Saccharomyces cerevisiae S288C: one gene and its partners. Changing the gene in region 3 together with the main gene of any one other region gives a genetic interaction. Each region holds a gene or a part of one and is shown on either strand. Other genes may lie near its edges.

Region 1 (3,756 bases), 350 kb from region 3:
TATTTACCCAGAAAGTAATGAATGTATTTAATGAATTACTGAATTATTAAAATTAGTAATAAATAGCGGTTTATATGAAGAGCTCTATGTACGCTAGTATGGCATTACATACCTACTGCAAGTAAAAAAGGAAAAAAATTTGTGACATTTTGTAAATATGCTGCGTGAATTTGCCTAATGAGTATTTTTCCAGAAATTACAAAACACAAATAAGTAGAATGTGTTTAGTGTATTTGTAATTCATAGACTATTTATTGATGCTTATCTATTATACCTGGGGTTTCTGCTTCGTCCTCGTCCTCGTCATCATCGTCGTCGTCGTCGTCGTCGTCGTCGTCGTCGTCGTCGTCATCGTCGTCATCGTCATCATCATCGTTGTTGTTTTCGTTCTTATCTTCTGTATCTTCTTCTTCGTCGTCGTCTTCTTCCTCATCCTCATCATCGTCCTCTTCCTCGTTATTTTTTGGGTACCCACCCAATTTCATAACGATTTTGTTAACAATCTCATTCCAGTCCATCATACCCCCGAGACCAATATCACCATTTATATCCATAACTTTCTCAGACGGCTTGAAAACAGTGACCCAGGACATTTCCTCCTTTATCGTTTGTAGTTGCTTCTTTGTCATCATAGAATTAAAAGTGCTACTCACCATAGAAGGTGCCAAAAGAATGGGATAACTCGGATTCCAAGCTCTAATGACACTTGTCAGAAGATTGTCGCACAGGCCCAAAGCAATTTTTGATAATGTGTTTGCAGTTAATGGAGCTACTACCAGTATATCCGCCCAGCGACGTAGTTCTATATGAAGTACAGGATCAGTTCGTTGTTTCCATGCGTCCCATTCATCTTGGTCGGTCCATAGTTGAATATGTGGGGGTAACTCGACTACTTGAGCCATGTTGCATTGTCCTGGTGTTGGTGTCACTGGAGTTGCCGGAGTGGATTCGTACTGCGACATTTTATTTAGTTTTTCTGAAGATTTGATAATTTTCTTGGTATATCTTTGTTCGAAAAACTGTGTTGCTGATTGAGTGAGGATAACTTGAATGCTTATTCTATCACGTCCATATATTTCTTCTAGTTTTTTAATCATTGGCTTGATCTTAAATACCGATAACGAACCTGTAGCGCCAAACAACACGTGCAATTTTCCATCATCTTGAGGTAGTCTGGGATCCAAATTCTTGGAGTTCTCTCTTTTGGGGATGATGGAAGGAATGACGGACTGCTTCACTGGCGTTTCTTCCGGGGTAGAACGCACATTAATTTGGCCTGAAACATTGTTAGCTTGATCTTGTGCATCTTCCTTTCGAAGTGTAATACTGGTGGGGGCTTTGGCGGTTACCTTATTATTTTCTCTACTTATTGGCGTTGAAGTGGCCATGATTTTGTCAGGCTTCATGGTATCAACTATTTTAAGAGCACTGTCTTTTTTCTTAGGATCATAATCTTTCATTTCGTTGACGAGTGGAGACCCAGATAATTGCGTTGTTCTTGAAGTGTTGGTGTGGTTCGGTATAACTGCATGATTGCCAGGAATGGAATTTGAGACAGGAGCAGGATTACTATTTGGAGACTTGGTCCTTTCTGAGTCGTTCTTCAGCTGAGTCAGACTATCCTGCTTTTGCTGTTGCTTTAGATCACTGAAAGTGACGGCGGGGACTCTCTTCAAACCAGGCTCCGGAGTATTACTTACTACTGCGCCGGAGGTGCCGGTGGCATTCATAATAGATTTCGTAGTCGTGGTAGTAGCATTCGACAAAGTAGGGCTTATTGATTGCCTCCCTGACACGGGGGAGTTGATTATTGAATCCTTCCCCTTCGCATCCTCATGGTCCAACAAAATCTCTTTCTGTCCACGCGAAAACCTTGGACACTCTATAGACTGGTTATGGTCAGCATCTTGCTTCCCGCTAGTAGAGGCGACGGCAGTCATTGCTGTTTGCTTCTAGATCTTTCTTCCCTATTAATTTTTTCCTAACTAATATTTCTTTATATTTTATCCCGGAATATAAAGTAGTATGACAGCAAAGAAGGCCAGGCTAAAAAAAGATCTCTCCAAATGTAACTGGACGGCGCTGATAAGTGGACAAGTACAAGTGAGGGATCGTGATCCAAGAGCACTCTGTGACTTCTTCTCCTCTAATATCACCTCCCCAGAAAAGCATCGATGCCATTTTTTGCAAGAGAAAAAGTTGCGTGCGTCACTGCCCACGAGCACATGGGGTGAGTTATATAACATAAGAATATTGCTTTGACTCATGTTAAAAGCAAAAGAAAAAATAATAATGATCATTAGAGATACATCAAAGACGATCATGGCATTAACCCAGGGTACGTGTGTTAGATATGATAGGGTACCCCGCGCGTATAAGTTACGCCTTGAATGATATAACACGTTAAAGTTTCTAGATCACGTGAATCATTACCATTTTTTAGGTCATCCTACGGATAATGGCGAAACCACATAATTGCTTTGTAGATCTCTTTTTATGCTGGATGGATGGCCCTCTGGAATGCATCCTTCACGAACACAATTTATGAAACCTCAGGTTTGATGCTCCGGAAAGCCTATTTCTCACGTTTTCCGGCACTTAATGCGCATATAAAAACATAGTCTCTACGTTACGAGGATTTATCATAGAACCCAAATCAGCAGTAATAAATTTCCACGGTCAAATTAAACTCTTGTCGTTGATATGGGTGTAGTGTGATGGTGGTGACCACTATTTCGCCTTTATTAGTTATTTATATGAGTTAGCCCTCCGAAGAACTCATCCTTGTTAGCTCAGTTGGTAGAGCGTTCGGCTTTTAAGCGCATTTGCTTAAGCAAGGATACCGAAATGTCAGGGGTTCGAGCCCCCTATGAGGAGTTCTTTACTTTTTTAGATTCGGCGTTCAATGCTAAAGAAAAAAAATGAAAATAAGTTTCAATTAATAGTGAAAGAAAAGGAAGGAAGTTAGAACTGAAATGCGTAGACTACCTCCCCCAAATTTTTTCTTGTTTGGTTGCATTATTTCATGAATTCAACTAAAAGGCTGAAAATGTCAACAACCTTTCATGATTATGACTTGGAAGAGCCATTAACCTCAAATGCCAGACCACTAAAGAACTCCGTTATTACAATCCGAGTAATAAAATCTTTCCCATATAGAAACGTCAAGAACATAGTGCTGCACGATTACGATCTTGCTGATAAAACTGCAAAGGACCTGTTCAATGACGTTTTGAACAAAATTCAAAATGAAGGTTCATTCAGACCATTCCGTAATGTTAAGTTTGATACTTTAAAGATATACACGCACGCACATGGTTCCAAGACGGTTAATCTCGTGATCAATTTTGACCACGATGACGACTGGACTTTAGACATAGAGAATGACAAAAAAAAGCTGTTCGAGTATGGCATTGAGAATGAAACCGAAATTTCGCTTTTCAACAAAGAGGATTACCTAAGGTTTAAAGAAAACCCTGAAGAAAAATGGTGAGATGTTGTTTGGCTTATGGCCTTCATTAATAAGTAAGTGCTATGAATATATTACATATATATATATATATATGTTGTGTACGAGAGTATACTCGTATGTAAATTAACATCAAATGTGTATGTGGAAATGCAGAAGAGAGCAAACTCTCCTTTAAAAAACAACCTGGTTCCTATAAAAAATGTCTTCTTCCATAGTGCCAAATGTATAGTTGCTGAACTCATAATGAGCTTCTTTTATTGTTTCATCAGAATGAGAACTATTTT
Region 2 (3,756 bases), on a different chromosome or scaffold from region 3:
AGCTCAGTTTTCTCTTACGCAGCAATTTTCTTTGTAAGGAGGAGGATAGCACTGGCGGAGAGGGTGGGTCCGTAGTCGTTGTTGTTGTAGCCGTTGCTGAGAGAGACGGTGATGGGACGTAAGAAGCTTCGTCATCAGATTTGGAAGATTCCTCTTCTTGCTCCTTTTGATATCTTAATTGAATTTCACGTTGCTTCAAATATTCATTCAAATCATCCGGAGTTTCATTAACCATGTCAATCAGTTTTTTGAAGTCTTCTTTATTTTGGTATAGTTTTTCTAAATGAGGAGTGTTCTTGACAGTCTTTGGAGCCCGCGTATGGTTCTCGGAGTGGTTGATTGGTGATTGTGGTTTTGGGATTGCAATGTCAGAGGGTAGGTAGTCTTTGTTTGGGTCCAAATTTAGTTTCTTGAACTTAGATAAAATTTCCGGATCCTGCTTATCATTAGGAAGTAGTTTTTGGTTGTTTAAAACTGCCAATGGTTGGCTTGAATATAGTTTAGAATGTTTTAGTCGAGTATGGTTCACGATACCTTGCGCGGAAGTGAAACCGGAACGGTCACATTTGGAGCACGTAATTATAACCAAAATGCCGTCATATCTTCTAAAAATGGGCTCATTATTTTCAGTCTTACCGATGATACCGCTATTGCTCGTCAAACAAGTGCTACTGTAATTACGTCTGTGGTTAAGATGCATCTGACTTGGTTTAAAAGGGAGTATCTGGAACCCCGGCTGCTCGTCTAAGGGGGAGATTGAGGAGGAACGAGGTGAAGAAATGCCATCCGAATTAGAGTGAGGAAGCGAGACGGGAGTGGGCTTGGTTATGGCTTCTGATAGAGATTTAGAACCTGTTAGCCTGTAATCAATTATATTCGAATTTGCCGGACGGAGGGCAGAAGGTTCTAGCAAAAGCCCGTTACTCTTGCTTCTAGTATGATAATGGTGGTGTGGTATGCGTGTTGTTGACAGATTTCTGTTGCTGCTCGAAGACAAAGGCTGACAGTTGATGTTATAATCCGATAGAACCGGGTATGACAGGTTATAATTTGATGCGTTCGTATTTTCCGTAGCCGTACTGTCGTGAAAGTGGCCGCCGAGCACGCTATGCTGCTGATGTTGTTTTATTTTGAGTTGATACGTCCGTTCGATTTTGTTCAATAGACCAGTATCCTTATGCAGGGTTTCCAAGAGAGCTAGTTTTGCGTTAACCTTTTGAACATTTCTTCGTAAGTGCCTAACATGCTTGTGGTTTAGCATTATATGTAGGTTCAAAACATTCTGTATTTCCCCTTTGGCACATTCGTACTTCAACCGCTGGGTATTTTCGCTATCCTTGTCCGGATTACTGGTGGCGGTGTCCATTTTGAAGGGCTCATCCATGTTGTTTTCCAAATCCTGAGGAGACTTTGGCGTGGTAACCTGATAAACGTTCGTCATCTTAGAGGATGACGATGAGGAAGAATTAGGATTATGATGCTGGTGCTGCAGTTTATCTTGGGCGGGACTCATCATGAGGAGATGGACATATACACAAAGTGTTGGATGAGAAGCGTGAGCCCGAAGAGTAGTGAAATGCCGAAGATCAGGGTGTTTATATGAACGAACACTAGCTTACAAATGTGGAAACGGGATCCTTCAGAGGTAAAATGCGCCTTCAGTGGCCAAAGTTCATCACCTTCCTTAGCACGGGTTCTTGCTGTCTGCTCTTCCTGCTTCTTCCCTGTTCGTTTTTCCCTCTTCCTACGGCTATGCACAGTGGCAAATGCACTGCATGTGTTTCTGTGGCGGGTATCCCTCAATTGCGGGTAACAATAAGTAACTCAACATCACGAACGACGTTTATGTTTGCTGTTACCACAAAGGGTAAAACGTCAATAAAAGCAAGCAATGTTATTCGTGCCAGAGAACTATATCTGGCGTACGTCTTATATATAACACAAGCAAGGGCAAATACGTGGTTAGTGGTGTAAAAACTGAAGGGATTAATTTACATACAACTAGATCCATCTTTCTCAAAAATGACTTCAGTATCGCCCTCGCCACCTGCCAGTCGATCGGGCTCAATGTGCTCCGACTTACCGTCCTCTTTGCAGACTGAGAAACTGGCACATATTATAGGTCTTGATGCCGACGATGAAGTTCTCCGGCGCGTAACCAAGCAGTTGAGCAGATCTAGGAGAATTGCTTGTCTGACTGGGGCAGGCATTTCGTGCAACGCGGGCATTCCTGACTTTCGCTCTTCTGATGGGCTCTACGACCTAGTGAAAAAGGATTGTTCACAGTATTGGTCTATCAAGTCCGGCAGGGAAATGTTTGATATTTCGCTATTTAGAGATGACTTCAAAATATCCATTTTTGCTAAATTTATGGAGAGGCTCTATTCAAATGTTCAATTGGCAAAGCCGACTAAGACGCACAAGTTCATTGCGCATCTAAAAGATAGGAACAAACTGCTGCGCTGTTACACGCAAAACATCGATGGGCTCGAAGAAAGCATAGGACTTACTTTATCAAATAGGAAATTACCGCTTACCTCATTTAGTTCACATTGGAAAAATCTGGATGTCGTTCAGTTGCACGGCGACCTGAAAACTCTTTCGTGTACAAAGTGCTTCCAGACTTTTCCCTGGAGCAGGTACTGGTCTCGTTGTCTAAGAAGAGGTGAGTTACCATTGTGTCCGGATTGCGAAGCACTTATCAACAAGAGATTGAATGAAGGAAAGCGAACTCTTGGTTCTAATGTGGGTATTCTAAGACCTAATATCGTCCTGTATGGTGAAAACCATCCATCCTGTGAAATTATTACGCAAGGCCTAAATCTTGACATAATTAAAGGCAATCCTGATTTTTTGATCATCATGGGTACAAGTTTGAAAGTTGATGGTGTGAAACAACTGGTAAAAAAATTAAGTAAGAAAATTCACGATCGTGGCGGCCTGATCATTCTCGTAAACAAGACACCCATTGGCGAATCCTCTTGGCACGGCATTATAGACTACCAAATCCACTCAGATTGTGATAATTGGGTCACATTTCTTGAATCCCAAATACCAGATTTCTTCAAGACGCAAGATCAAATTAAGAAGTTAAGACAGTTAAAAAGGGAGGCGAGCGACTTGAGAAAGCAAATGAAGGCCCAAAAAGACTCAATCGGAACCCCCCCAACAACCCCTCTACGAACTGCCCAGGGGATTGATATTCAAGGAAACAACGAATTGAATACAAAAATAAAGTCGTTAAACACAGTTAAGAGAAAAATACTGTCACCAGAAAACTCCAGTGAGGAAGACGAAGAGGAAAACTTGGATACAAGAAAACGCGCTAAGATACGACCAACTTTCGGTGACAACCAAGCCTCATAAACTTAACTATTAAAATTGAGTTAACGATAAATAATCGAGGCAGACACCCCTTTGCATAATATATCATCCGTTTAATTTATCTTCCATTTATATACTCATACATATACCAACGGAGATCTGCATGTCCGAGAATACAAAAAATAGTGAACGAAAAAAATATCACATCGCGAAAGAAAAGCTATCTGATATCTGCAACACGAAAACACAACAGTCGCGGCATGCAGATAGTACAAATTGAGCAGGCCCCAAAAGACTACATAAGCGACATCAAAATAATCCCTTCCAAGTCACTGCTTTTGATTACGTCTTGGGATGGCTCTTTAACAGTCTACAAATTCGACATTCAAGCAAAGAATGTTGACCTTTTACAATCGCTACGATATAAACATC
Region 3 (3,756 bases):
TTGGAAGATGAAGAAGGTTGTAAATCATTATACTCGCCCATTTTTTTCTTTTTCAAAACAAATCTTGCTTTATACGTCGTTATACGTCTGGCTATTTGGGAAAGTAACCTTTTTTCGAAATCTTCGGCGGTTAATCCATATCTTTGCATTAAAATGTCTAAAAGACCGGACTCCTCCACGTAATGAGAAACTTTAAATTTACTCACTGTATGGTTAGAATTATTGTAAGAGCTTTCTAGTATTTGATCAAACTTTAAATCGTTTTGTAAAATCTTTGGAATCTTAGTTAGGATAAATTTACCCAGTGACAAGTTATCTTCTAGTGGGTGACTATGATAGGGCTCAATTTTGGTAACGACAAATGGGCCCGGTATATCATCGGTAGCAGAATTGAAGACGTCTAAATTCATAGACGTGTCTCGTATGGAGGATGGTGAGTGGGAGGAAATGCCGTGGCTACCGACATTGTTGTTATTGATATTGCTGTTATTGTTGTGATCGTTATTAGTATTATTATCTTGGCCATCATTGTTGTTAGTGGCATCATCGTCTTTTCCATCGTGCTTATTGTTTGATTGAGAATCTACATTTGCGACGGCATTGGCAATGGCAACGTTGATGTCTTCATCGTTCACTACGTCAGAATAGTTTTTCGTCATTTGGGTATGGACGTCATCCTCCTCGTTGTGACGGTGGTTACCGCTGTCATTACCATGAGTAGGACCGCTCTCGTCGTCCAATCCCCGGTCAATAGAGGCCTTATTTATCGAATCATCTTCAGTGTCGTTCTTGATAGTAACACCTTGCTGTTTAAAAATGTTGTTGGCATCAGCATCATCGTCATTGTTCCCATTCACCTCATTGCTTCTCGACTCCACTTTGTCATTGGTGTCGTCCGGATGAGTGTTCGCCAGATGGTATTCAAGATCATCAGTAACGAAGTCAAGTTTACTGTCATTGCTAACCTTATTATTACTGCCATTGTTATTATCATTGTCCTCGTTGTTCATGTTGTTGCTATGATGATGAATATGATCAGGAGTACCCGGAGGGTTGGTATTATTATTTGCAGAAGGAGATGAGGTTTCTGAGGATGCAGCATTGCCAGCATAGCTTAGCAAGACTTTAAATGGACAGTTTTTCAAATGACAGGCAAATGTAAAATGTTTGTTCCTATGCGAATTCTTTAAAATAATAGGGCAACGCGTCTGAAATTCGTACTCATTAATTACATCATACCAAGCACCCAAGGTGGGAAATTTTTTGCCTCCATGGGCTCCAATGGCCAGGTCTTTATTAATTATAGGGTGCTTGTATTCATAATAATTCACGACTAATTTGTCCATCCTTGTGAAATTGCAAATATGGTGATTTGAAACGTTTCCTAGTGCAGCAGGATCACAGATAACGTGTAAAGGGCTTAGCAGTTGATAATCCTCTCTAGTTGAGATCTAAACAAAATGCTGTCACTAACCGTAGTATTAAATGACACACTTTGGTGACTTTCGTTAATGGGGATGTGGTAGTGGCCATTGCCAATAAACAAAAAGAACAGGGAAAGAAGTAGAAAGTGATATAAGTTTGCTTGCCACTTTTCGTTTTTCACGAAAAAAACAGGCGAAAAAAAATGCTAGACTAGTACCCGGCTGAATCACACCTCGTTAACAGTGACTTTCGGTGACAGATACCCGATTGGGCACCCGGCTGGTAAGTTATGATAGAAAGCCAACGCTGTACTATTGGCTTAGCTATGGCAATATTTTGATTATCAACTAGTTTTATTAACGTTATAATTAGTGTAACCAGTTTTTCATCTATTTCATTTATTTCATTTATTTACTTTAATTGCAGATCCCCCTAACGCGTTTAAAGCTTTTATTCACTAGCTTATGTATTTTTTATAGGAAACGCGACGCGTAACATCGCGCAAATGAAGGTTTTGATGTATTATAATGAGGTATTCTTCCTTATATACATCGATGAAAAGCGTTGACAGCATACATTGGAAAGAAATAGGAAACGGACACCGGAAGAAAAAATATGGGTATTAAAGGTTTGAATGCAATTATATCGGAACATGTTCCCTCTGCTATCAGGAAAAGCGATATCAAGAGCTTTTTTGGCAGAAAGGTTGCCATCGATGCCTCTATGTCTCTATATCAGTTTTTAATTGCTGTAAGACAGCAAGACGGTGGGCAGTTGACCAATGAAGCCGGTGAAACAACGTCACACTTGATGGGTATGTTTTATAGGACACTGAGAATGATTGATAACGGTATCAAGCCTTGTTATGTCTTCGACGGCAAACCTCCAGATTTGAAATCTCATGAGTTGACAAAGCGGTCTTCAAGAAGGGTGGAAACAGAAAAAAAACTGGCAGAGGCAACAACAGAATTGGAAAAGATGAAGCAAGAAAGAAGATTGGTGAAGGTCTCAAAAGAGCATAATGAAGAAGCCCAAAAATTACTAGGACTAATGGGAATCCCATATATAATAGCGCCAACGGAAGCTGAGGCTCAATGTGCTGAGTTGGCAAAGAAGGGAAAGGTGTATGCCGCAGCAAGTGAAGATATGGACACACTCTGTTATAGAACACCCTTCTTGTTGAGACATTTGACTTTTTCAGAGGCCAAGAAGGAACCGATTCACGAAATAGATACTGAATTAGTTTTGAGAGGACTCGACTTGACAATAGAGCAGTTTGTTGATCTTTGCATAATGCTTGGTTGTGACTACTGTGAAAGCATCAGAGGTGTTGGTCCAGTGACAGCCTTAAAATTGATAAAAACGCATGGATCCATCGAAAAAATCGTGGAGTTTATTGAATCTGGGGAGTCAAACAACACTAAATGGAAAATCCCAGAAGACTGGCCTTACAAACAAGCAAGAATGCTGTTTCTTGACCCTGAAGTTATAGATGGTAACGAAATAAACTTGAAATGGTCGCCACCAAAGGAGAAGGAACTTATCGAGTATTTATGTGATGATAAGAAATTCAGTGAAGAAAGAGTTAAATCTGGTATATCAAGATTGAAAAAAGGCTTGAAATCTGGCATTCAGGGTAGGTTAGATGGGTTCTTCCAAGTGGTGCCTAAGACAAAGGAACAGCTGGCTGCTGCGGCGAAAAGAGCACAAGAAAATAAAAAATTGAACAAAAATAAGAATAAAGTCACAAAGGGAAGAAGATGAGGGGGTTCTTTTTCCACTTTCTTCTTTTGGTCCTTCACCTTGGCATATATGTAACATAGATATTTGTATACACGAACTTTTTTCATCTAATACTTCTCTTTTTTTGCCAGTTTTTCTGGGAACTTGAACGTGGAATTTTTCATTCTTACCTGGTTTCTTTTTCTTCATTTCTTTACATGTTGGAAATCATTGTAAATATAAGATGACAAACTCCGAATAAGAAACACAAAACGCAACATTAATAAGCTTTTGGCATATCGGAACCATCGTAATGCCTTCGACACCTAGCTTTGTTAGATCTGCTGTCTCGAAATACAAATTTGGTGCGCACATGTCAGGTGCCGGTGGAATTTCTAATAGTGTAACTAATGCATTTAACACTGGCTGTAATTCGTTTGCCATGTTTTTAAAATCTCCAAGAAAGTGGGTTTCTCCGCAGTATACACAGGAGGAAATAGATAAATTTAAGAAAAACTGTGCAACTTACAATTATAACCCATTGACGGACGTCTTACCGCATGGCCAATACTTTATTAATTTGGCTAATCCGGATAGGGAAAAGGCAGA

Evidence for each region.
Region 1: mutations in RAD27 (region 3) and SIS2 are lethal when combined (synthetic lethality), as found in Saccharomyces cerevisiae (6 studies listed by BioGRID, with this or other methods).
Region 2: mutations in RAD27 (region 3) and HST3 together harm fitness more than expected from each alone (negative genetic interaction), as found in Saccharomyces cerevisiae (6 studies listed by BioGRID, with this or other methods).

The regions. Positions count from the first base shown.
Region 1 is NC_001143.9:576,184-579,939, forward strand, and holds SIS2 (phosphopantothenoylcysteine decarboxylase complex subunit SIS2), read right to left. Parts: upstream 1,941-3,756; coding exon 252-1,940; downstream 1-251. Other genes in the region: YKR073C (uncharacterized protein), read right to left, coding at 2,004-2,324; AIM29 (Aim29p), read left to right, coding at 3,026-3,493; YKR075C (uncharacterized protein), read right to left, coding at 3,644-3,756. UniProt on the Saccharomyces cerevisiae protein: Component of the phosphopantothenoylcysteine decarboxylase (PPCDC) involved in the coenzyme A synthesis. Acts as an inhibitory subunit of protein phosphatase PPZ1, which is involved in many cellular processes such as G1-S transition or salt tolerance.
Region 2 is NC_001147.6:376,197-379,952, forward strand, and holds HST3 (NAD-dependent histone deacetylase HST3), read left to right. Parts: upstream 1-2,022; coding exon 2,023-3,366; downstream 3,367-3,756. Other genes in the region: AHC1 (Ahc1p), read right to left, coding at 1-1,516; BUB3 (Bub3p), read left to right, coding at 3,585-3,756. UniProt on the Saccharomyces cerevisiae protein: NAD-dependent histone deacetylase, which contributes together with HST4 to histone H3 'Lys-56' deacetylation, regulation of telomeric silencing, proper cell cycle progression, DNA damage control, DNA recombination, and genomic maintenance.
Region 3 is NC_001143.9:224,160-227,915, reverse strand, and holds RAD27 (multifunctional nuclease RAD27), read left to right. Parts: upstream 1-2,040; coding exon 2,041-3,189; downstream 3,190-3,756. Other genes in the region: DNA-binding protein ABF1, read right to left, coding at 1-1,346; DNA-(apurinic or apyrimidinic site) lyase APN1, read left to right, coding at 3,461-3,756. UniProt on the Saccharomyces cerevisiae protein: Structure-specific nuclease with 5'-flap endonuclease and 5'-3' exonuclease activities involved in DNA replication and repair.